4 linked regions of the Saccharomyces cerevisiae S288C genome follow. The protein of the gene in region 1 binds, or shares a complex with, the protein of each later gene. Each region holds a gene or a part of one and is shown on either strand. Other genes may lie near its edges. The genes, in order: PAP1, CFT1, REF2 and SSU72.

The links.
Region 2: PAP1 (region 1) and CFT1 share a complex: the UniProt entries of both Saccharomyces cerevisiae proteins name them as parts of the cleavage and polyadenylation factor (CPF) complex.
Region 3: PAP1 (region 1) and REF2 share a complex: the UniProt entries of both Saccharomyces cerevisiae proteins name them as parts of the cleavage and polyadenylation factor (CPF) complex.
Region 4: PAP1 (region 1) and SSU72 share a complex: the UniProt entries of both Saccharomyces cerevisiae proteins name them as parts of the cleavage and polyadenylation factor (CPF) complex.

Annotation. Positions count from the first base shown.
Region 1 is NC_001143.9:441,124-445,438, forward strand, and holds PAP1 (polynucleotide adenylyltransferase PAP1), read left to right. Parts: upstream 1-2,108; coding exon 2,109-3,815; downstream 3,816-4,315. Other genes in the region: dynamin-like GTPase VPS1, read right to left, coding at 1-1,599; oxysterol-binding protein OSH6, read left to right, coding at 4,258-4,315. UniProt on the Saccharomyces cerevisiae protein: Polymerase component of the cleavage and polyadenylation factor (CPF) complex, which plays a key role in polyadenylation-dependent pre-mRNA 3'-end formation and cooperates with cleavage factors including the CFIA complex and NAB4/CFIB.
Region 2 is NC_001136.10:1,060,661-1,068,732, reverse strand, and holds CFT1 (cleavage/polyadenylation factor CFT1), read right to left. Parts: upstream 5,382-8,072; coding exon 1,308-5,381; downstream 1-1,307. Other genes in the region: RSC3 (Rsc3p), read left to right, coding at 1-4; mannose-ethanolamine phosphotransferase GPI11, read right to left, coding at 343-1,002; PRO1 (glutamate 5-kinase), read left to right, coding at 5,942-7,228; rRNA-processing protein BFR2, read right to left, coding at 7,502-8,072. UniProt on the Saccharomyces cerevisiae protein: RNA-binding component of the cleavage and polyadenylation factor (CPF) complex, which plays a key role in polyadenylation-dependent pre-mRNA 3'-end formation and cooperates with cleavage factors including the CFIA complex and NAB4/CFIB.
Region 3 is NC_001136.10:845,110-850,700, reverse strand, and holds REF2 (RNA-processing protein REF2), read right to left. Parts: upstream 2,103-5,591; coding exon 501-2,102; downstream 1-500. Other genes in the region: CAB5 (putative dephospho-CoA kinase), read left to right, coding at 1-427; YDR194W-A (uncharacterized protein), read right to left, coding at 2,478-2,630; MSS116 (ATP-dependent RNA helicase), read left to right, coding at 2,755-4,749. UniProt on the Saccharomyces cerevisiae protein: RNA-binding component of the cleavage and polyadenylation factor (CPF) complex, which plays a key role in polyadenylation-dependent pre-mRNA 3'-end formation and cooperates with cleavage factors including the CFIA complex and NAB4/CFIB.
Region 4 is NC_001146.8:226,626-231,438, reverse strand, and holds SSU72 (RNA polymerase II subunit A C-terminal domain phosphatase), read right to left. Parts: upstream 2,346-4,813; coding exon 1,725-2,345; downstream 1-1,724. Other genes in the region: ribonuclease P/MRP protein subunit POP1, read left to right, coding at 1-371; cysteine protease ATG4, read right to left, coding at 2,585-4,069; SQS1 (Sqs1p), read left to right, coding at 4,340-4,813. UniProt on the Saccharomyces cerevisiae protein: Component of the cleavage and polyadenylation factor (CPF) complex, which plays a key role in polyadenylation-dependent pre-mRNA 3'-end formation and cooperates with cleavage factors including the CFIA complex and NAB4/CFIB.

The sequences.
Region 1 (4,315 bases):
GTCGGGATGGGCTGTATTGATGTAAGTTTGTTCAGCTTTGATGATATCGACAACAAACTCATTCGTAGGAATAGTAGCATCCTTTAAGAACTGAATGAACTGATTAGAAATCGCTTCTCTTAGAGCAGGATACCTTGAGTACTTTGGTTGTGAAATAATCTGTTTTAGCATACGAACAAGTTCATCAAACACCAGAGTAACTAAACGTAGAGATGGTTCTTCAAATCTTCTAATTTGCTGTTTAACTAAAACTTCAAAAGCTTCGGTACCGACAAACAAAGATGGGGCAGAACCTGAACTATTGTACATAATGGTTCTGATATCAGAATCTTTGATCTGGTCGAATGGATCCAAAGAGTCTACACCATTTTTGAAAGTTTCATGGAATACGTAAGAAATTCTAGCACCACCAGAAAGTTCCTGACTGGAAAGCTCCTTCGCCTCACCGTCCAAGATACCGGCATATTCATTGGAAAAATCAGTAATCATGCTCAAAACAACCGAACTAGCTGAATCCATAGTTTCTGGGCCCAAGTTTATAAGTTCGTTTTGATATTTTTTCAATGTGGCTTCGATTTTCGCTTTGATTTCTGGCAGAGTTTGCCTAATGTGGTGTAATAAGATTGAGTTTAACTTTTTAGCCAAATATGGTGTACCACAGTAATGAGCTTTAGAACTGTAAGAGGGATGGTTCTCAAAAAATTTTCTTTCGTTTTCAAGGGCTTCTCTGATTGTTTTTTTGTGTTCAATATCCTTTTGACCTCTATTGATAACTGGGATATAACCATATCTCAAAGGAATGACTCTTCCAGCCAAAATATCTATGACATCTGTACCTTGATCCATCAAATCGACTTTTGTCAAGACACCAATAGTTCTCGTTCCTTCTGGATCGACCTCTCTAGCCAGCTTCAAACCATCGCTGTTGGCTAAATCGGTGTTAGCGGCATTAACAGATAATATGATAGCGTTTGGTTTCGAAATATACTTTAACAACATGTCCTTAATTTGTCTTTCAATATCAGGAGGTTGGTCACCTACGGGAACCTTCGTCAACCCAGGCAAATCCACTAACGTCAAAGTAAGAACATGCGGAGAATAAATTCTCAAGTTAATGGGCACAGAAGAAATACCTGAATTGGCACCTGTCACTTTGTCAGTTTCTTTGACGATTTCCTTTCTAATTTCGTCAAAATTATAAAACTTCTTACCAGGTAAATGCAAAAATTCACCCCATTCCTCTTTATTGTCTTCAGATTGTCCCTCGTTCTGGTGCTTTCCTGATTCATCCTTTTTCTTGTCATCATCGTTGATGTTCAAGTCAATCAATTCATTAGCAGTTTGGTTTACTTTAGCATGTTCTGACTTTTTTGGTCTCCTATTAATCAATTGTAACACTAAAGGTCTCCTGGTGACAATACCAGTACCTCTTGGCAAGAAATCCCTACCAACAATGTTCTCCAAAACGGACGACTTTCCTGACGACTGGGAACCGACAACAGTGATCTGTGGTAAATCAATAGGAGATTGAGATCCTCCTCCTAAGGGCGCCAAAGCGTCCTGAAGCTTGTTAATAGTAGAAATTAAATGCTCATCCATGATATCTGATAATATAAAATGTGCAGTTTTCGTACGGTCCTTATTTTGGTGCTATAAAAGGCCTCTCTAATTCTTTTTTAGGAGTAAATAGATGAATTATCTCGGTCTGTCTTGGAAGATATGTTGTTCTCTTGATGGCAAAGCGACGCGAATCAACGGCGCCCAAGTCTTTGGGTGACCCGGCCACTTAATAATGTTTGGGGAAGAAATCAATCCATTAGAACATTGGTTTTGGAAACTAGGCCAGTCCAAGCGCACAAGTGGTTTACCCTCGAGCATTTTTCGACTATTAGAGGATTCAAGTATCTATCGAATTCTCTGAAGCTATCATACTATCCTCTGGACGATATTAGAACGATTTTTCAAGTGAAACGTTTTAGCAAAAGTTTAAAGACACTAAACTAGCTAAATAATTTCACTGTGAGCAAGTCTTTAAACGGTCTTTTTTGAATCAAAAGAGGCCTAGAATTAGCAAAATATTTAACGCATAAACTTTTTTTAGACAAATAATGAGCTCTCAAAAGGTTTTTGGTATTACTGGACCTGTTTCCACCGTGGGCGCCACAGCAGCAGAAAATAAATTAAATGATAGTTTAATCCAAGAACTGAAAAAGGAAGGATCGTTCGAAACAGAGCAAGAAACTGCCAATAGGGTACAAGTGTTGAAAATATTGCAGGAATTGGCACAAAGATTTGTTTATGAAGTATCGAAGAAGAAAAATATGTCAGACGGGATGGCAAGGGATGCTGGTGGGAAGATTTTTACGTATGGGTCCTATAGACTAGGAGTCCATGGGCCTGGTAGTGATATCGATACTTTGGTAGTTGTTCCAAAACATGTAACTCGGGAAGATTTTTTTACGGTATTTGATTCACTACTGAGAGAGAGGAAGGAACTGGATGAAATTGCACCTGTACCTGATGCGTTTGTCCCGATTATCAAGATAAAGTTCAGTGGTATTTCTATCGATTTAATCTGTGCACGTCTAGACCAACCTCAAGTGCCTTTATCCTTGACTTTATCAGATAAAAATCTACTGCGAAATCTAGACGAGAAGGACTTGAGAGCTTTGAATGGTACCAGAGTAACAGATGAGATATTAGAACTGGTACCAAAGCCGAATGTTTTCAGAATCGCTTTAAGAGCTATTAAGCTATGGGCCCAAAGAAGGGCTGTTTATGCTAATATTTTTGGTTTTCCTGGTGGTGTGGCTTGGGCCATGCTAGTGGCTAGAATTTGTCAACTATACCCTAACGCCTGTAGCGCAGTTATATTGAACAGATTTTTCATCATTTTGTCGGAATGGAATTGGCCACAACCTGTTATCTTGAAACCAATTGAGGATGGCCCGTTACAAGTTCGTGTATGGAATCCAAAGATATATGCCCAAGACAGGTCTCATAGAATGCCCGTCATTACACCAGCTTATCCATCAATGTGTGCTACCCATAACATCACGGAATCTACTAAAAAAGTCATTTTACAGGAATTCGTAAGAGGCGTTCAAATTACGAATGATATTTTTTCCAATAAGAAGTCCTGGGCCAATTTATTCGAAAAAAACGATTTTTTCTTTCGATACAAGTTCTATTTAGAAATTACTGCATATACAAGGGGCAGTGACGAGCAGCATTTAAAATGGAGTGGTCTTGTTGAAAGTAAGGTAAGGCTTCTAGTTATGAAACTGGAGGTGTTAGCTGGAATAAAAATTGCACATCCTTTCACCAAACCCTTTGAAAGTAGTTATTGTTGTCCAACCGAGGATGACTATGAAATGATTCAAGACAAATACGGTAGTCATAAAACTGAGACAGCACTGAACGCCCTTAAACTGGTAACAGATGAAAATAAAGAGGAAGAAAGTATTAAAGATGCACCAAAGGCATATTTAAGCACCATGTACATAGGCCTTGACTTTAATATTGAAAACAAAAAGGAAAAAGTTGACATTCACATTCCCTGCACTGAATTTGTGAATTTATGTCGAAGTTTCAATGAGGATTATGGTGACCACAAAGTATTCAATCTAGCCCTCCGCTTCGTAAAGGGTTACGATTTGCCAGATGAAGTTTTCGATGAAAATGAAAAGAGACCATCAAAGAAGAGTAAAAGGAAGAATTTAGATGCTAGACATGAAACCGTGAAGAGATCTAAATCAGATGCTGCTTCAGGTGACAACATCAATGGCACAACCGCAGCTGTTGACGTAAACTAAGACATTCCTATTTATAGTTGAATAGTTTATTAATATAGGTTAATCAGTCATAAACAAATTTGTACCCTTTTTTTTGAATCAAAGTACTTTTTTTACGAAGCAGTAAAACGTTTACGAGATTCTCTCTACATATGCTCTTTCGCGTGTAGCGACATTTTACCATTAGGTGAGAATTTTGTGTTACAAGCTGGATGTCAGGATGATACCTTTGAAGGCATAGTTAAATTGGCTGGGAAAGGAACGGAACCTTTTCCTTTCCGAGTTTCGGCCAGATATTTAGGCTTTTTTTTTTCTGACGGAATAGGGGACCCAGGATTGACAAATATAACAAAACAAGCTTCAACGAGACGTTTATCTCGAGAATTACGTCTGACAGTTACATGAAGTGTGAGTTCATGCAATCTGTACCTTTATTGACACAGATATACTAAAAGAAGTTACAATGGGCTCCAAAAAACTGACCGTAGGATCTGATTCGCACCGGTTGAGCAAATCCAGTT
Region 2 (8,072 bases), on another chromosome or scaffold:
CTAAAGCGACTCAAACAAATTAAAGAAGAAGTTGAGACTTTTATAGTATTTATTATTTAATCTGAGGATTTGTATTATTTTTTTATATAGAATGAATAAATCAGAAAAAGGAAATTATGAAAAGAAAAGAATGAGGAGAGTGGGAGATATTTAATGTTGTTAGCTATTTATCTGTATGGAAGTTATTACCTTCTTTTAAGATGGTACAAATAGCATATAGGTGGGTTTGGTATAAAGATCATTTAGTTTTTGTCATAGATTTTTCAATTGTGCATAGGACCAGTTTATGTTACCTCTATCATACTTATATTTTTTTATATACAAATTTTTAAATTACCGATATTATATATAGGCACCGATAGTATAGCCCACCAAAGCGCCCAAATAACCTCCAACAACAATAGGAATTGGCCAATTCTGCCAATCTCTATCCCAATCCAAAGGAATGACAACACAACTAATCCAACCCCCTACAACGATAAAGATAAAATACTTCTTCCATAATCCCACTTTGAAATCACAATTAAATACAGAATAAACTGCAGGGTATGCTAAAAATGCAAAATGCAGTGACAACAGCCAGGTTTCCCACAATAAGTCCATTAATGGCGCACCAAATAATATAGTTAATAACATTGTGGGAAAGCTCAACAAAAATGTAACACCTAGACAAATAATGGTCAATGAGTAATTGATCTTAATGATTTTGTTACCGTAAACTGTGCATTTATTGAATTGTAAAACTAAATAAGCAACTTGTGTAGGAATCAAAAAACTTAGCAACTTCACCGTATTGAAATTTGAAGATACAAAAACGTAGTAATAAAGTAGTGCTACTAAATGGTATGGAAATGTCATCAGAGGGGTTTTCCTCACATACACAGGTGGACGATCATGATCTACGTTCTTTTTCTCACGATTTTGGTGCGTTGTTAATGTTGTGTCATCGGAGAATGATACGGTTTTTTTCACTGTCTTTCTAGTCCTTTTTTTAGCTGGCATATTTAAATTGGACCTTCTTTAGTGCACTTGTTTATGTTCCTGCAAAGTCTTTGATTAAAGGCACCGTTTGCACTTTTGCTTTATTTCACTAACTGTTCTTTATTTGTTTTTTTTGCTGTGCAAAAAGTAACTTTTTCCTCATCCCCGCGTTACGTAAATAGTTCCGAAAATGTACGATGATACATGCGTTATTGTTACAAATCTAGTGTTTCAAGTAGTGGTTCTTATTCACTACTCGAATGCCTAGTGATAGATAGATGTATATATCGGGCTAGTTAGCATTAAATATCCTTTATATGTATTGTTCACTTACCCTGGCATAAAGATCTCATTGAAAATTCAATATTTATGATATCTCTCCATGCTTCAAAATGCGCATGTCTTCCTGCTTTCTGCGCAATGCTTTTCCGTCTATCAATAGCTAATCCACAGAACCTCCGTATAACGTTGAAATCAAGCATAGGCCTCATAGAGTGACCCATCTGATAAAAGTCGTTGGCCAATCTTTCCATGCGAGGGTTTAAACCACCTAGCTGTAATTCTCGATCGATGATTTGTTGTTGAATCACATAAAGTCTTCTGTATTTTTCCTCACTTAAAGGAACTATCTTGAAGACTGACCCATCCACTTGGCCACCAACGTTTTGAAACGATGGCACTTGAGGAGAGCCAAATTCCTCGTTTCTTGGTAAAAGCATCATACAACTATTGGTGGAATGCAACGTGAAACTGGAGCAGTGGACTAAACGTTGACCCGAAAGAGAGTTGGGTTCATCTGGCGCATATTTTAAAACATGAACATTTCTGTCAGCATCTGTTGCCGCAAAATACATATCCCCTCCGTTCACTAAAAACTCTAGCGACATTGTTTGAAATTTCGACATACTTCTGCCCAATGAAATCATCCTGTATGGTTCTGCGTCAAAACCAATAAATTGGAACCCCTGCATAGCGTCACCAATTATCAAAAGATTACCAAAGCTTTTAGAATCCGTAACGAAAACAGGAATATCCAAAAATGCCACTGGTATGACGGAATTATCTTCTTGGATATCTCTTACTAGAACTTTTTGGCTTTGACTAATCATGAATCTTCCACTAACCTCACAAACAGTAGATACAGTACCACTGACCTCTTCTTGAAAAATTTCCTTGAGCTTATAATTGGTATCAGGTTTACCAGGTTCGGGAACAACTTCTATCACATCATAAATATGGAAAGCGCCAGTTGGTGGAGTGTCTTCAGTGGTGGCATTGGCAACACCGGCTATAATGTATTCTCTTTTCCTCTTAGTTTTTGAATTAATTTGAATCATAGAGGATCTCATTTCATTGACGACAGAATTCTTTGGAAAGTCGATTTTATCAATGACCTTCCAACTTTTTGGATTAATGAGTAAAATTCCACTTTGAAATCCTTCCGCATGAGGAACATTCTCGTCATAACCAATTACTTTTTCGCCATCTTCTCCTAATGCTTCGTAAGGAACCCGCTTGCAATAAGATACAAGAAACAATTGAGCCCTTTCATGATAGACTAGTTTTTGCAGAGTTTTGTAGTCATCAAGCACATTGCTGATCTTTATCTGTTTCAATGGTAATTTGTTACCATAGTACATATTGTCAGTAGTTAGTGTGTAAACTCTGGCGTTTTTAATATCATCTACACACATGACTGAACGCTCGCTCCAGGGAGTGACTGAAACCAATGGTATGTTTCCGAATTTGAAAATCTTCGGTGTGGAATCATCTTCTTTTATTAATATGTATGGAACGCTACCGGTTACAAATATTACCGAATAACCGTTGTAATCGGGAAAGTAATGCATGATTCTTTCGATGGAACTAACACCCTTGGCGTATGCATTGTCAGGAGCACCAGTAATAGCTAGATCATTTCTTGTAACGTTTCTATAAAATCTACTACGTCTTTGTGGTAATTTTCTATATTGGTAAATCTCTCCTCCGAAGGTTAATATTGTCAGGTATTCTTCTTTATTGTCATGGCCCAGTTTGTTTATCATTACTTGTTTAATCGATGGATCAGGGACGATCTCATCGCCCAGTTGATAAGTGCTAATGTATAAAGATTCATTTAATTGGTCAACACCATTTAGTTGAAAGATTCTGTCATTATGGTCTTTAGTAAAAAAGATAATTTGGTTATCTGCAGTAACAAATGTAAACAATAACTGTTCTTCTTGAGACTTACTCAACCCAATCAAAAATTCATTACACATATTGCTTTTCAAAATCAAACCAGATGTAATAACCATTTCATTCAAAATTTCTGGCAAATCAACTTTTAACAATTTTCTTTTATTCTTTTCCTCCAATTCAAATATCTTAATATCACCCCTTGATACGGTAACTAGTATATACGGATCCATGACGGAAACATGAATAACTTCGTAGTCAAATTTAATTGTGGTGAGACGTCTAAAATGTGTATCATATAAATATAAGTGATTGGTGGTGACTTGTATTATTCTTTTTTCTTCACCAAACATTGAAATGTAAACTGTAGTAGCATCTCTTCTTAAACGGCCGCCCTTATGAAGTTTGAAGTTATTGTCACTTTCATATATGTCACTCCGGGATTTTGTGGAATCAGTAGTTATTAAGTACCTATCTCTTCCTTTGATCTTCAGATTCCAGATTTGTGTTATACTGATAAATTTCAATGCTAATTCAATTTCCGGTTGAACACTAGTCTGTATGACGGTCAAATGAGAACCTGAACCATTTCCCGATGTGGCAACTAGCGAATACTCGTTTTTGTTTGGATTTGGTAGTCCTTTTACCACATCATCAATGGAAGATACCTTACCTACAGTTAACGATGTGATGGGACCAACATTCCTTAGAGATGATAACAGTTCGATATCGAAAGGTTGAACAGTTTCCACAGTGCCTTTGGAATCATTAGTTGTTAGTCCATTTTCAGGAGCTTCATCGGCGTATAAATCGTCCATTTCCTCATCATCGTCGTCATTGATATCCATCAAACTATTTGTACCTGAAGATGGATTGTGTGCTTCTCTTGTTTCAATGGTAGATTTCAAATTATTCAATCTGAGAACCAAAGCATTTCCTGAACCAAACCCAATAAATAAGTCCATATTTTTGTTTGAATTGGTGGCATTCAAACGTGTTATACATTTTGGATTGGAGTTCTCCTTCAAAAGATCATTGACTATAGGTAGCTTGAAAATATCGAATTTAATCAGTAACCTGCCCTCTGCTTCCATTTGGATATAGTATATATTGGATTTCAAGTCCATAAGTAGTAGTGTTTCGTCATTATTACTTCCTCCGTTTTTGCTCTTGGACGAAGGTATCCAAATTGACGTAGTGTTTTTCTCCCTGAACATAATTTCCAATGAAGAATTGTTGATAATTTTTGTTTTCTGTAACTCTTTATCAGCAAATGAGTTTAATAATACTGTCGATTGTAAAACGCCAGTATTATCTAGAAATGCCAGTTCATTGGTTCCCACAATGATAGCACCATTCGAAACAGGTACAATGGTGTGTAGATCCCAAGGCAGTTCCTTGACAAATGCTATTGTGGTTGATTCAATCTTGGTGGCACTTTCTGCAGGCTGGATATTTAATGTGAGTATAACGTATTGTGTAGGGAGTTTTGAAATGGTGGTGTTTCCTGCCCAAACAAGCTTTGGTTGGTATAAGAGCGCTATCGTTGGTTTAGTAAAATTTTTCAAGAACTGAATATCTATGATATTTTTGGCGCCTTCGTACAACTCACTCGCTACCAATACCACGCTTGGAGCCGTGAACTTGTCACCTAACTTGGTTCTCTTCCTCTTATTGAAAGTATTCGTCCCTTGGGATTTTTGATTCATGCTATGGATTAATTCACTATCGTCTATGTTCTCGTCCTCATCTTCTTCCTCCTCATCGTCGTCATTTTTATTGACATGGAAGGGTAGAAAAGCGATAATGTCATTATTGAACAGTAAGGCACAAGAACTTCCAGGATCCATTCTCAAGGTGGAAATTTTGGCCAGCTCTACCAACGATTTACCCTTGAACTTTCCTTCGTAGTAATGCAGGCTTAGGGTATCGATTGAGTTTGTTAGCGTGTTGAACTTTAAAATAGAGATTTTAGCGACGCCTGTGCATAAAAGCAGGCAACTTAACGGACTGTCTTTTTGGGGAATGAGGCCTATATCGGTGATCAAGCCATGAAACTTAAACTCATCAGTCAAATACAGTTTACCATCCCTAGTAGGCCTGTAGACAGAAAGGATATTTGTTCGCACCACTAAGAGCTCCTCATAATCTGAAGTAGTAAAATGTGTTGCTAATGAATGAGACACAACAGTAGCGTCAAGCACATCATCATATACATTCATAGGGCCAGTAGCTAGAGTAAAAAGCGAATCTAGGTTAGTACCTGATAGTTTTAATCAGTGAAGTGTTCAAGGGACGGTGATCTTCCTCAATTTACATATGATTGCTTTAACGCTGCTCTGTGAAATATGTCACCTCGAACTTACCTTATATTAAGATCACTTACTACGTTGTCTTATTGGGAGCCGACGGGATGAGGAAGCACAAAATGTCACTAATAGGGCTGGTCAGTGGCACAGTGAATCATAATATATCGGTTGAGCACCAGTTAAAGTATGAACATGTTAAATTTAAGACTCTCACTTATCAATGGTTACATTTTGGTCTAAATTTATTTATTTATGACACTATCAGGTACCTTGGTAAAGGAATTGAAAATAAATAGCACCCACACATCGCATGATGGCAGGAAATGAAAAATTACATCAGCGAACTAATGCTTTCTCGATGAATTATTCATCCATCAAAACGGTCTTTCAAGATTAATGTCTAGTTGCTTCAAAGATAGGCATAGTTTAGGTCATTTTATCAGCTACTGTAATATAGTCATAAGAACGCGAAAATGAAGGATGCTAATGAGAGTAAATCGTATACTATAGTGATCAAATTAGGCTCTTCATCGCTAGTAGATGAAAAAACCAAAGAACCTAAGTTAGCTATCATGTCGCTTATTGTCGAAACTGTAGTCAAATTGAGAAGAATGGGACACAAAGTTATCATCGTGTCCAGTGGTGGTATTGCTGTTGGTTTGAGGACTATGCGTATGAATAAAAGACCAAAACATTTAGCAGAAGTTCAGGCCATCGCAGCTATTGGGCAGGGTAGATTGATCGGGAGATGGGATCTTCTGTTTTCGCAATTTGATCAACGTATCGCTCAAATTCTATTGACCAGAAATGATATTCTGGACTGGACCCAATATAAGAACGCTCAAAACACAATTAATGAATTGTTGAACATGGGCGTTATTCCCATTGTGAATGAAAACGACACACTATCTGTTAGAGAAATCAAATTTGGTGACAATGACACTTTATCAGCAATTACTTCTGCTTTAATCCATGCAGATTATCTTTTCTTACTGACAGATGTTGACTGTTTGTATACTGATAATCCAAGGACAAACCCAGATGCCATGCCGATCTTAGTTGTCCCAGATCTCTCAAAGGGTTTGCCCGGTGTGAATACTGCTGGTGGTTCAGGTTCTGACGTTGGGACCGGTGGTATGGAAACTAAATTGGTTGCTGCAGATTTGGCAACGAATGCCGGTGTTCATACGTTGATCATGAAAAGCGATACACCTGCGAATATAGGTAGAATTGTCGAGTATATGCAAACTCTAGAACTTGACGATGAAAATAAAGTTAAACAAGCATATAATGGCGATTTAACGGATTTGCAAAAAAGAGAATTTGAGAAATTAAAGGCTCTTAACGTTCCACTACATACGAAGTTCATTGCTAATGATAATAAACACCATCTAAAGAATAGAGAGTTTTGGATTTTACACGGTCTTGTCTCTAAAGGCGCTGTTGTTATAGACCAAGGTGCGTACGCAGCCTTAACAAGGAAAAATAAGGCGGGATTATTGCCAGCAGGTGTTATTGATGTTCAGGGCACTTTCCATGAGTTAGAATGTGTTGACATAAAAGTTGGTAAAAAGTTACCAGATGGCACGTTAGATCCAGATTTTCCCTTGCAAACAGTAGGCAAGGCAAGATGCAATTACACGAGTTCTGAATTAACTAAAATTAAAGGTTTGCACAGTGACCAAATCGAAGAGGAATTGGGCTATAATGACAGCGAATATGTCGCTCATAGAGAAAATTTGGCATTCCCACCTCGTTGAAACGAACTAAAAAGTTATAGAGGATTCCCTTAATGATATTTCTTATATAAAACACTACCTTTATATTTCCAGGTTAAATAATGACACATTAAGCATGTTTTGTTTTTTTGAAGAATTGTGCAGAGCAGCTGTTTCTTCCTAATCCACATTAGTGTTCTTAACTCAAAAAAAAGGTAGTTGTTAACAGCTACTTTTTGTGATCCGTTAAAATCCTTCTATCTACTTATAAGCCCTAAATTAAATGAGTTGTGCGTATTTAAAATAAATGTATATTCAACCAAAGATTTGGATATCATCGTTTTTAACAGCCTCTAATTCTTCGTCATTTTCTATTCTGGCATGTTGTTCCTCATCCTCATTTTCATTAAAGTTCACTCGTTGACCTAACAATCCCGCAAAGAATTCATCGATTTGGTCGTCTGACCATTTGTATCCGGATGTGATGGGGGCTTCATAATTCGCAATTGGATCTTGAACTGAGTAGTTCAATTTCCTACCCTTGGAAGCCTTAGTATCGATATTCTTCTTTAGCTTGTTGTTCGAACGAGCATTAGTTGAGGTGATTGTAATTGCTGCACTTTCAGAATTGTGAGCGTTGGAAATCTTTTTGTCAATTAAATCGTTTAGTAAAACACGGTAAAAATCTTCGTCATCAAAAACATATGGGTTTTCGGTAATGTCAATGGCATTGTTATCCTTTCTTCTTGGGTCATAGTTTTTCGGGATATCAAGCCCATCATCCGAATTCTCATTGTCATCAACACTATCTTTGACAACGGGAGAAATCAATTCTGGTAGCCTGCCATTAGCACAGTCTTTTTGGAAATACAAAGGCGTTATGTTT
Region 3 (5,591 bases), on another chromosome or scaffold:
CAAAGAAATTGGCTACTATTACTTGAAGGGATATAGAATGTGTGTATTGGATGTGCCACTCTTATTTGAAGGAAATCTGGATTCAATATGCGGAGTGACTGTAAGCGTAATTTGTACGCAAGAATTGCAACTAGAAAGATTAATGACAAGAAATCCTGAACTTAGTGAAGAAGATGCAAAAAACAGGCTAAATAGTCAAATGAGCACTGAAGAAAGGATGGCAAGATCTGACTATATCCTACAAAATAACAGCACATTGGTTGACTTATACGAACAGATTGAAAGTGTTGTAAAAAAAATCCAACCTAGTAAATTAAGAACTGTTTTGGAGTATTTCCCACCTTTTGGGGCCGTAAGTGCCAGTAGCATCGTCATGTCCAGATTACTGATGAAAAAACTTCAAAATAAAAAGTCTTCAGCGGTATAAGGTTGATATCTTATAATTACATTATATAAAATGAGTATATATACTACATGTTTATGTATCAGCATGTCATAGCTTAGTGTACTGGTCTTGGAGGATATTTATTTCTTTTTACTATGGGGACATGCTTGTATGGCAAACCACCTCTGTCCTTCCTTAGTAATAAACTATTTTTACCGAAAGCCTTTGCTATAGTCGGGGTTGAGTTCGTATTTCCATTTAAGTCGAATTCTATGGGTTCTCTTGGCGGCCTTTTATTCAAGTCCGGGTTGAAATGATTGAAATTTTTTCTATAGATCAACGGGGTCCTTGTTTCACAATGTATTGGGCCACCTTTAGTCTCGGATATATCCATATAGTCATCACTGTTTGTGTTCTTCAGAAACATCAAATCAAGAGGTTTTAATTTGATTGACATATCCTCGAACAATATAATTTCCTTCGGTTCCCCCTCCTTGAATGGTTTCAGAATTTTTTTCAATTGAGTAGGAGAAACTTGTAGCCCTTGGTTCGGTAGATCGTCACCGTAAACTTTTATTAGTTGGGAATCATCCAAAAATTTGATGCTACTTATGCGTGCTTTTTTCGGTTTACCATTTCTCAAAATCGATTGTACATTAGAGTCTTGCACGGATATTTTGGTTTTTTTTTTTAAGGGCTCTTCTGAAGAAGCAGGAGTCGCTACCGTTGTGGTTGACGATCCTGACGTTGACGAAGATATGATATTAGAAGCCACCGTGGATGCTTCGGGGTTGACTTTGAAATCCACATCTATTGACCGTTTAGTCCCAAGCTTGGTCATATCTGCGTCATCCTTGTTCAGATATTTAGAAAATGATAGTTTTTTCTTGGAAGAAGTAGGTAGAGATTCTGTAGACTTAGCTTCATTTTTATTGAATAAACCCGACTTCAATTTCTTCATTGAAGAGGTAGATGCAGTAGGCGATGGAGAAGAATTTTTGTCATCGTTATTGAGCAAAGGAGAAGGTTTTAATTTAGTTTTCATCTTGACTTTTGATTTATCCTTCTCCTTCTCCTTTTCTTTTTCTGAATCCTTTATCTTTGCTTTCGAACTAGCCAATTTCTTTTTGAGGTTGGCCTTTGTACCAGTACTATTCGAACCCTTTTGGAAACCCAATGTATCTAATAATTTCATATAGGATCGTACATTTTCAGCAACGGAAGTATCCAAGACGCATAAATTGATGACTGCATCTACCAGACCATCCATTTTAGATAATCGATTATGGCTATTTTTATTCAGGATTAAATTGTCAATGTAATTTTTCCTTTCCTCGGGAGAAAACTTAGGCAATTGGTTAACGAAGAAGTCCAGGGAGACATCATTAGCGATGGGCGGTGTAGAGTGGTGTTGTTTCTCATGCTTTAGTTTAATTAGCTGGTTCAAATAATCTAGATACATTGATTTTAAGCCAGAATACAGCTGTATATCTGCTTCAGTCACGTTCTTTTCCTTCCGTTCTATGTGCAAGTTATCTTTGGTAAACTGATTCAAAGCCGCTTGCAAAGAATCGATATACTTGTCAATTCTTGCCAGTTGAATGGAAGATAATTTGCAATCTTTATTAAAATCTACCATATCCAAACGAATTTGCTGGATAGTGGAAGCTTGCAAGGCATGAGAAATATTTACTAATTGAGGAACAGGTGCTGACATTGTTCAATTCTTCCACAGTGTCTTTACTTATCGTATCGTTTCTTTTCTTTTCCTTTCTTGGTCCTTTCGATTTCCTTGTGCCTTTGCTTGTAGGTTTTTGAGCTTTAACCTCACTTACTCACACGATGTCTTGATAAAAGTATATATAATATATATAATAGACCCGCCAAAAGAAACCGTTGGTGTGCCGACGTGATACAGAGCGGTAGAGTACAATACAGTACAAAAGAGTTATGCTTGTTTTGTTCTGCCTCCAACAGTGTATGCTTGTTAACAAGTGCCTCAATCGAATATCATCGATTTTTTATACCGCCTTGAGAAAAACTGACGAAAAACGCTGGCGCCGGAGAGTCGTGTATCGTGATATATCGTGATTTACAACTGGTAATATATAGATGAATACCGTACCCAATTCTGATAATAACAAGTAGGCTGGAGTGATATATGGCACTGTTTTATTTCAAAAAAGCAAATTAGCAACCTCAAAGTGTCTTTACTTATGGATGCTTCAATCATCATCTGTTTCATTCTCCGTCTGTAGTGATATTATAGAAAGAATAAAATTTTCCTATAAAAAGAAGGGAAGTATTGATGGCCACTATGGTGTCTCAGAGTGGCAAGAAAATACCAGAGTTGCACGTTAGGCTGATAAATGTTGACCTCTATATTGATAAAAGGTCGCACACCTGTTCTTGCAAGCAGAAATTTATTAGCAGCTCTCTCGAATTGCAACCATATTACTTGGGCTGTTTCAAGAAGATTATACAATGATGGAAACAGAGATCAAAGAAATTTTGGTAGGAATCAGAGAAACAACAACAGTAACAGGTATAGAAACTCCCGTTTCAATTCTCGCCCAAGGACAAGGTCTAGAGAAGACGATGATGAAGTGCACTTTGATAAGACCACTTTTTCCAAACTAATTCACGTCCCAAAAGAAGATAATAGTAAAGAAGTAACGCTGGACTCTTTACTGGAGGAAGGAGTCCTTGATAAAGAAATACATAAAGCCATTACCAGGATGGAATTTCCCGGTTTAACTCCTGTACAGCAAAAGACTATCAAACCAATATTATCCAGTGAAGACCATGATGTTATCGCAAGAGCTAAAACCGGTACAGGTAAGACATTTGCCTTCTTGATTCCAATTTTCCAGCATTTGATAAATACGAAGTTCGATTCTCAATATATGGTAAAAGCTGTTATTGTCGCACCAACAAGAGATTTGGCCTTGCAAATCGAAGCAGAGGTGAAAAAAATCCACGATATGAATTATGGCTTGAAAAAGTACGCTTGTGTCTCTTTAGTTGGTGGTACTGACTTCAGGGCAGCTATGAATAAAATGAATAAGTTGAGACCAAACATTGTAATTGCCACTCCAGGGAGATTGATTGATGTTTTGGAAAAATACTCCAACAAATTTTTTAGGTTCGTAGATTACAAAGTGCTAGATGAAGCTGACAGATTGCTAGAAATTGGATTCAGGGATGATTTAGAAACTATTTCTGGTATTTTAAATGAAAAGAACTCCAAATCAGCCGATAATATCAAGACTTTGTTGTTCTCTGCTACTCTGGACGACAAAGTACAAAAGTTGGCAAACAATATCATGAATAAAAAAGAATGTCTCTTTTTAGACACAGTAGATAAGAATGAACCTGAAGCACATGAAAGAATTGATCAGTCTGTCGTCATTTCAGAAAAGTTTGCCAATAGTATATTTGCTGCTGTGGAGCATATAAAGAAACAAATAAAGGAAAGAGATTCTAATTACAAAGCCATTATTTTTGCACCAACTGTTAAATTCACATCCTTTTTGTGCAGTATTTTAAAGAATGAATTTAAGAAAGATTTACCAATTTTGGAATTTCATGGTAAAATTACTCAAAATAAAAGAACAAGTTTAGTTAAAAGATTCAAAAAAGATGAATCCGGTATTTTGGTTTGTACGGATGTGGGAGCCCGTGGTATGGATTTCCCAAACGTCCACGAAGTTTTGCAAATTGGTGTTCCATCTGAGTTGGCTAATTATATTCATAGAATTGGTAGAACAGCCAGAAGTGGGAAAGAAGGATCTTCTGTGCTATTCATTTGTAAAGATGAATTGCCATTTGTTAGAGAGTTGGAAGATGCAAAAAATATAGTCATTGCCAAACAAGAAAAATATGAGCCCAGTGAAGAAATAAAATCTGAGGTCCTAGAGGCAGTGACCGAAGAACCGGAAGACATATCAGATATTGTAATAAGTTTAATCTCATCCTACAGATCCTGTATCAAGGAATACAGGTTTTCTGAAAGGCGCATACTTCCTGAAATTGCTTCCACTTATGGTGTACTGTTAAATGATCCTCAATTAAAGATTCCAGTATCCAGAAGGTTTTTAGATAAATTAGGTTTGAGCCGTAGTCCAATTGGTAAGGCAATGTTTGAAATTAGAGACTATAGTAGTAGAGATGGAAATAACAAGTCCTACGATTATGATGATGATTCAGAAATTTCTTTCAGAGGCAACAAAAACTATAATAATAGGAGCCAAAATAGAGATTACGATGACGAACCGTTTAGACGCAGCAACAACAATAGACGCTCATTCTCCCGTAGTAATGATAAAAATAATTACTCCAGTAGAAACAGCAACATATATTAGAAAAGATAAAAAAGGAGGACCAAGAGATGTGGGTTGTATTTTAAATAACAATTCCTCTATTAAGACGCCTGTATTTTAGACCCCATCTTGATTCAATACTTTCACGTGTAAATACCTAGTATATAAATATTAAACAAAAATTTTTTTTCTTCTCCTATTCTCTTAAAATGATAACTATACGAAGATCCTACTGGTATATTTATTCGTCAATGCTTATTTACGACCGGTACCTCCATTCTTACTTTCGCTCTTCCTCCTCTCAAAGGAAAAGTAATTCTAACATTGTAATTCTTATTTAAACGGATGGAAGAAAGCTTTTGAGAATTTACTTGAAAAGTCAGGGTGTCTTAGGCGATTGATCACGGACATAGCCATATTACGAAAACTTCATTCTGAATATTGCCAACGAGACAATCGTGGGCTTGGTAATCGTTGAAAAATTTTCACATATTTTATGAACAGCTGAGCCTATTAACAATGAAAATAGTCTATACGATAGTCCAGAACTGAATAACAGTGTCAATCACTTTTTTTTTTATGATTAAATCCTAGTTAAAGTGCCGCTCTGCGAAAGAAAAATCAATAAATACCATTTGTTAGTGATCTAGCAATAATATCAATGACATCTTGTCTTATCTTAAAAATAAACAAAAAATTCTTTACAGTGTACTGAGCATTAATCTGGCTACGGCCTGGAGGGAAATTATGTCTTATACGAATTTTGCTCCGGCAATTCTATTTACGCTGTTTAGCTTATCATGCGATTTCAACCTTCTTTATATAGTAAATTAGCTTCGAAATAAAAGTATTCGCGAGAGGACAAGACATGAAACCTAAACCAC
Region 4 (4,813 bases), on another chromosome or scaffold:
TCTCCCTTACATTCTTCCCACGTTGTATCATTGCTGTATCTTGCACACTACTCGAACGAGGTCACCCAAAGGACAATGCAAGAATATATCAAGTTCCAGAAAAGGACTTAGAGCATTGGCTACAATTGGCAAAAGGGGTTTACCGCCCAAACGGAAGAAAAGATCATGATTTGAAAATTCCACTTCCAGAGGTACATGATTTGATTGGTTTTATTACCAGCGGCACCTACCACTTAAATTGTGGAAATGGTATGGGAATCGGATTTATAGATCATCATGCGGCCATCCGGCAACCAACTAGGTATGTACTGATCAGAAATGTAGGTACCAACACTTATAGGTTGGGGGAGTGGTCGAAAATATCCGTATAATGAACTGAACTGAATTATATGTACGACCGATATCCTATAAAGCTATGTATACAGAGGGCAAATAGCAATCATATCGCGCAATAATGGTCTTTTTGCTTCCTGGAACTCTATACGTACACATTTAGAGATTGAAAGTGGCAACAAATCTTATTATATGTTAATTTAAATACGGTGATCTACGCTGCCATCATAGGGCTCATTGATTCATTCCCTAGCTCTTGAAAATGTCAATGAAATTATTACCCGTCTTTGCACCTTTTTTTTTTCTAAGGCGACGAGTTTTCCATTGGCAAGACGTATAAATAGAGAGAAGAAGTTCCATTTAATAGAACTATTTTACAAACATACTTTTAGCGTTAAAATATAGTTTTTTCTTGAATTTTTTTAAAATCCTCATACTTACCTTAAGATATCAGAGGAGATCAAGAAGTCCTACTGATCAAACATGCGCTTCCAATAGTAGAAGGACGTTAAGCATTTATCATTGAACTATAATTGTTCATTGAAGTCATTGATGCAAACTCCTTGGTCACACACACATACGGCGCGGAAGGCGTGTTTGCTGACGTTTCCATTCCCTTGTTTCAATCATTGGTTAATCCCTTGATTCCTTTGGGGATTTTTGGGTTAAACTGATTTTTGGGGCCCTTTGTTTCTTCTGCCTGGAGAAGTTTGACACCAAATTCAAATTGGTGTTAGGGGAGCTGGGGCCTTTCAAAAGAGAGCTTTGTAGAGGCATTCTTTTTGACTACTTTTCTCTAGCGTGCCATTTTAGTTTTTGACGGCAGATTCGAATGAACTTAAGTTTATGATGAAGGTATGGCTGTTGAGATTATTTGGTCGGGATTGTAGTTTGAAGATGTGCTCTTTTGAGCAGTCTCAACTTTGCTCGTTCCCGTTATGGGAAAAATTTTGGAAGGTCTTGGTAGGAACGGGTGGATCTTATAATTTTTGATTTATTTTCAGAAATAAATGGAACATTTTTCTATTTATTTCTTTCTTAAAGTACTGAAACTTTTAAAGTTTCATGCTTCTATTTTCTTCATTTCAGTCCTATATCTGGTGATGTGTTTTGGAATGAAACCTGTTATACGCTACATTGAGACAAGACATTGTCCAGCTTACTAAAAATACAGTGTGTTGTATATCAAGCTTCTTGATAAAAAAATAGCTATGTGGACAACAAGCAAATAATGTGCTTAAGAGAGCCGCAACAAGAAACGTAATATTATATAATGAATATAACTAGGAAGCTATCGAAGACTTGTGAAAGTATTGAAATTTCACGGATAATGTAGGATTCATGAGGGCCGCTTAATGCTTATGCTTTTCTACAGTAATTGACCGTTTTGTTTAGTAATATGAAGGAGCGTATAATGACGGTAGTTGAGAATGTGAGCTTTGCCACTCAGTTAAAATGTCCATTATACAATCTTCAAAGGGAATGTCATCTTTTTCACATTGTTCTATTTTATCATTGAGCATATCAGCTAATTCCAATATAGCTTTGCTACCAATTTTAGCATTTTCATCATCATCTTTAATGTCAACATTAATTACATGCACTATTTTGTTTAATTTCCCACCTCTATTCATCAAATCTTCACAAACGGCATCAAAACATCTCTCTTCACAAGTGAAAACGAAGTCGAAGACTTTTGTACTTTCTTGCCATTTTTCAGGTGCTTTTTTGAGTCTTCTATTACGATCCAGCATTTGCAATAAACCGTTCGACTTGTAACGGTCTGCTGATTGTGATAAAAGATCATTATATATATCATTATAGGGTGTACCAAATGAGTACACATTAGGCTTATCTATCGATAGACCAGGCAGTCTCACAGCTGAACCTGTTCCGTAAGAGCTAACATTATAGCCTGCTTCTTGCAGGACTTTATGCGATTCCATTGAACGATTGTTGTTTGATGCACAAACTGTGCAAAACTTCAAGTTTGAATTGCGATGACTAGGCATTTTGGACTTCGACACTAGTTTATACCACCGTTGTCTTAATCTTCTTACAGGTGGTCTTTAATTCGTGCCGACTGGCCTTTTTCTTTATTATCTTTCGTTTTTTAAGTTCTTTCCACTGCCGCAGACGAAAAATACGTAAAGGATGATCAAACGAATAAGAACAAAAGAACTGGATACCTCAGTTTTAGGGAATATATTAAAACAAGTATATATGCTTATGAACTAGTGAATTCCTTACACTAGCATTTTTCATCAATAGGACTGTGAATACCTACCGTTTCCTTCTCTACAAGGACGCCTTCTACTTCATAATCTGTTAAATTCGCATTAACAGTGTGTGTGTTTCCCATAACAACAATCTTCTGTTTCTTGCAATGAATATCTTGAAAACAATCATATTCGTCTACATCTTCTGTATTTGTTGTGTGTGGGAATATTGCACCAATATCTACGTAGTCTCCCTCTAGTACTCCGAGATTTTCATTATTGCTTGCATCTTTCTTCATTGAGTTAGAACTTACACTTTCCACGTCATCCATACTACAACTCACATCAAAGTCATCCATTCTCTTAGCAAGAACATTGATAATAGCAGATTCTGCAACTTCTAGCTTCCATTGTTGCCAGTCTTTTTCGCCCTTAATCAAAATACCAATGAGCATCGAGGGATCCATTTCCGATAGTTGCAATTTACCAAATTTACTGGTATGGCACGACTCTACAAATGAATCTTCTACTGCCGGTTGAGGAATATGAGGATCGAAATGTAAAAATTCATTTCCTTGATAACCAAAAAAATACAACGATGAAGACGGCCTACCGCCGGCAATGCCTACTGACTGTGTTGAACTTAAGATACCACATATACTTTCTCTATAGCTCTCATTTACCGCATTAATCCCGAGCTTCACGCCCAACAAGAACAATATTCTACTATTTGGATTCTCAGCAAATACTTTTTCAACTTCATTTTCATAGATATCGCCGGATGAAACAGATACTATACAATCATCGATGCCACATTCGGGGAAGCCATATATTAAAGATTGTATACTCCTTGCCGTAGCTGCGGGACCAAACCATTCACCTGGTCTTTTATCAGAGAGTTCTGTACCTGCAGAAACAAAGTTATGTAACGAAAATGGAGCCTCAGGCGTGTCATTAAACCAATTTACAAATTTTGATTCTCTTTCCAGACTTTCGTTACCATTTACCCTGAAATCTCTGCCCAAATGAAGGATTTGTAAGGCATTCCCCAACAAACTTTGTCCTGTCCTTATCATACACCCCCACCCAATATCAGTGTTAAAGCAATCAGGATTTGCTATATAGTCCTCTATTGTACTGATCGGATTTGTACGTACTAATAAATTTAGACTTAAAGGTGAAGGCCCATCTGGCGCCCTTGCTATAGGAACAAATCTTGTCCGATATGTAAAGTTGACCCTTGATTGTACATCCAAAAGAAATTCCTTTGTGTAAGAAGAAATTTCCCTACCAAAAAGAGAGCTTAAAAACCCGTCACTAACCGCTTCACCGCGATATCGACAGTCTTGTTCACATTGTTCAGCGCCAGATTCTTCGTCTCGCTCAGGATATACTTCCCCTAATACTATATAATCATGATTCATAAGAGCAGCCGGTTCTTCGGACGAGCCTTCAAAAACGCCATGAGACACTTTTTGTACCAAATCCATTTTCCACAGTTGTAGCCACCTCTGCATGTATATCACTCCTATACGTGATAAGAAGTCGTCCATTCTTCATCTACTAACGTTATTGTGTGTATATTTTTACTTTTTTCCTTTGAGGCGCTATTGTTGGCAGCTGCAACGGTCACCGCCTAAAGAATAAAAGTGAAATTTGACATTTTACAATTAAATAAGATCTGAACAAAACAACAACAATTAGGCCTGCGCAGAGTTTCTAGAAGGAAGAAGTGATTTAATCGCAGAGTCAAATATAAGCATAAATTGTTGTAACCGTCAAAAAAAATGGCAAAAAGGCATAGTCATTATCAAGGAAGCAGACGTAGGCATGCACGTGGTAGCAATTCCAAGAAAGCTGGCAGGGGGAATGCTAAAGGCATACAAGGCAGAAAGATAAAGAAAAAACCTACTCCCACTAACAGTTGGCATAACTCTTCTATACCACTAGGAGAAGGTGATCTTGATGATGTAGGCGCCGACTTCAACCCAGGAAGAGCATTCATATCACCAAAAACTATAGAAGACTATTATTTTGGTCGCGATGCCAAGAGCCGTTCTATGAAAATGGGTGGTTTAAGACCAGGTAATCGATATGATTCTTCAACTGACCTACAAGCAGGAAGGGCAGCATTCCGCAAAAGACCTATGCAATTTGTAAAAGCTAAGGAAGTTTACGATCCATCCCACAATATGATTCAAAAACTGAGAGCAAAGAACGAAACAAAGAACAGTGAAGAAATTGTCGAAAGGGAAGCAGAC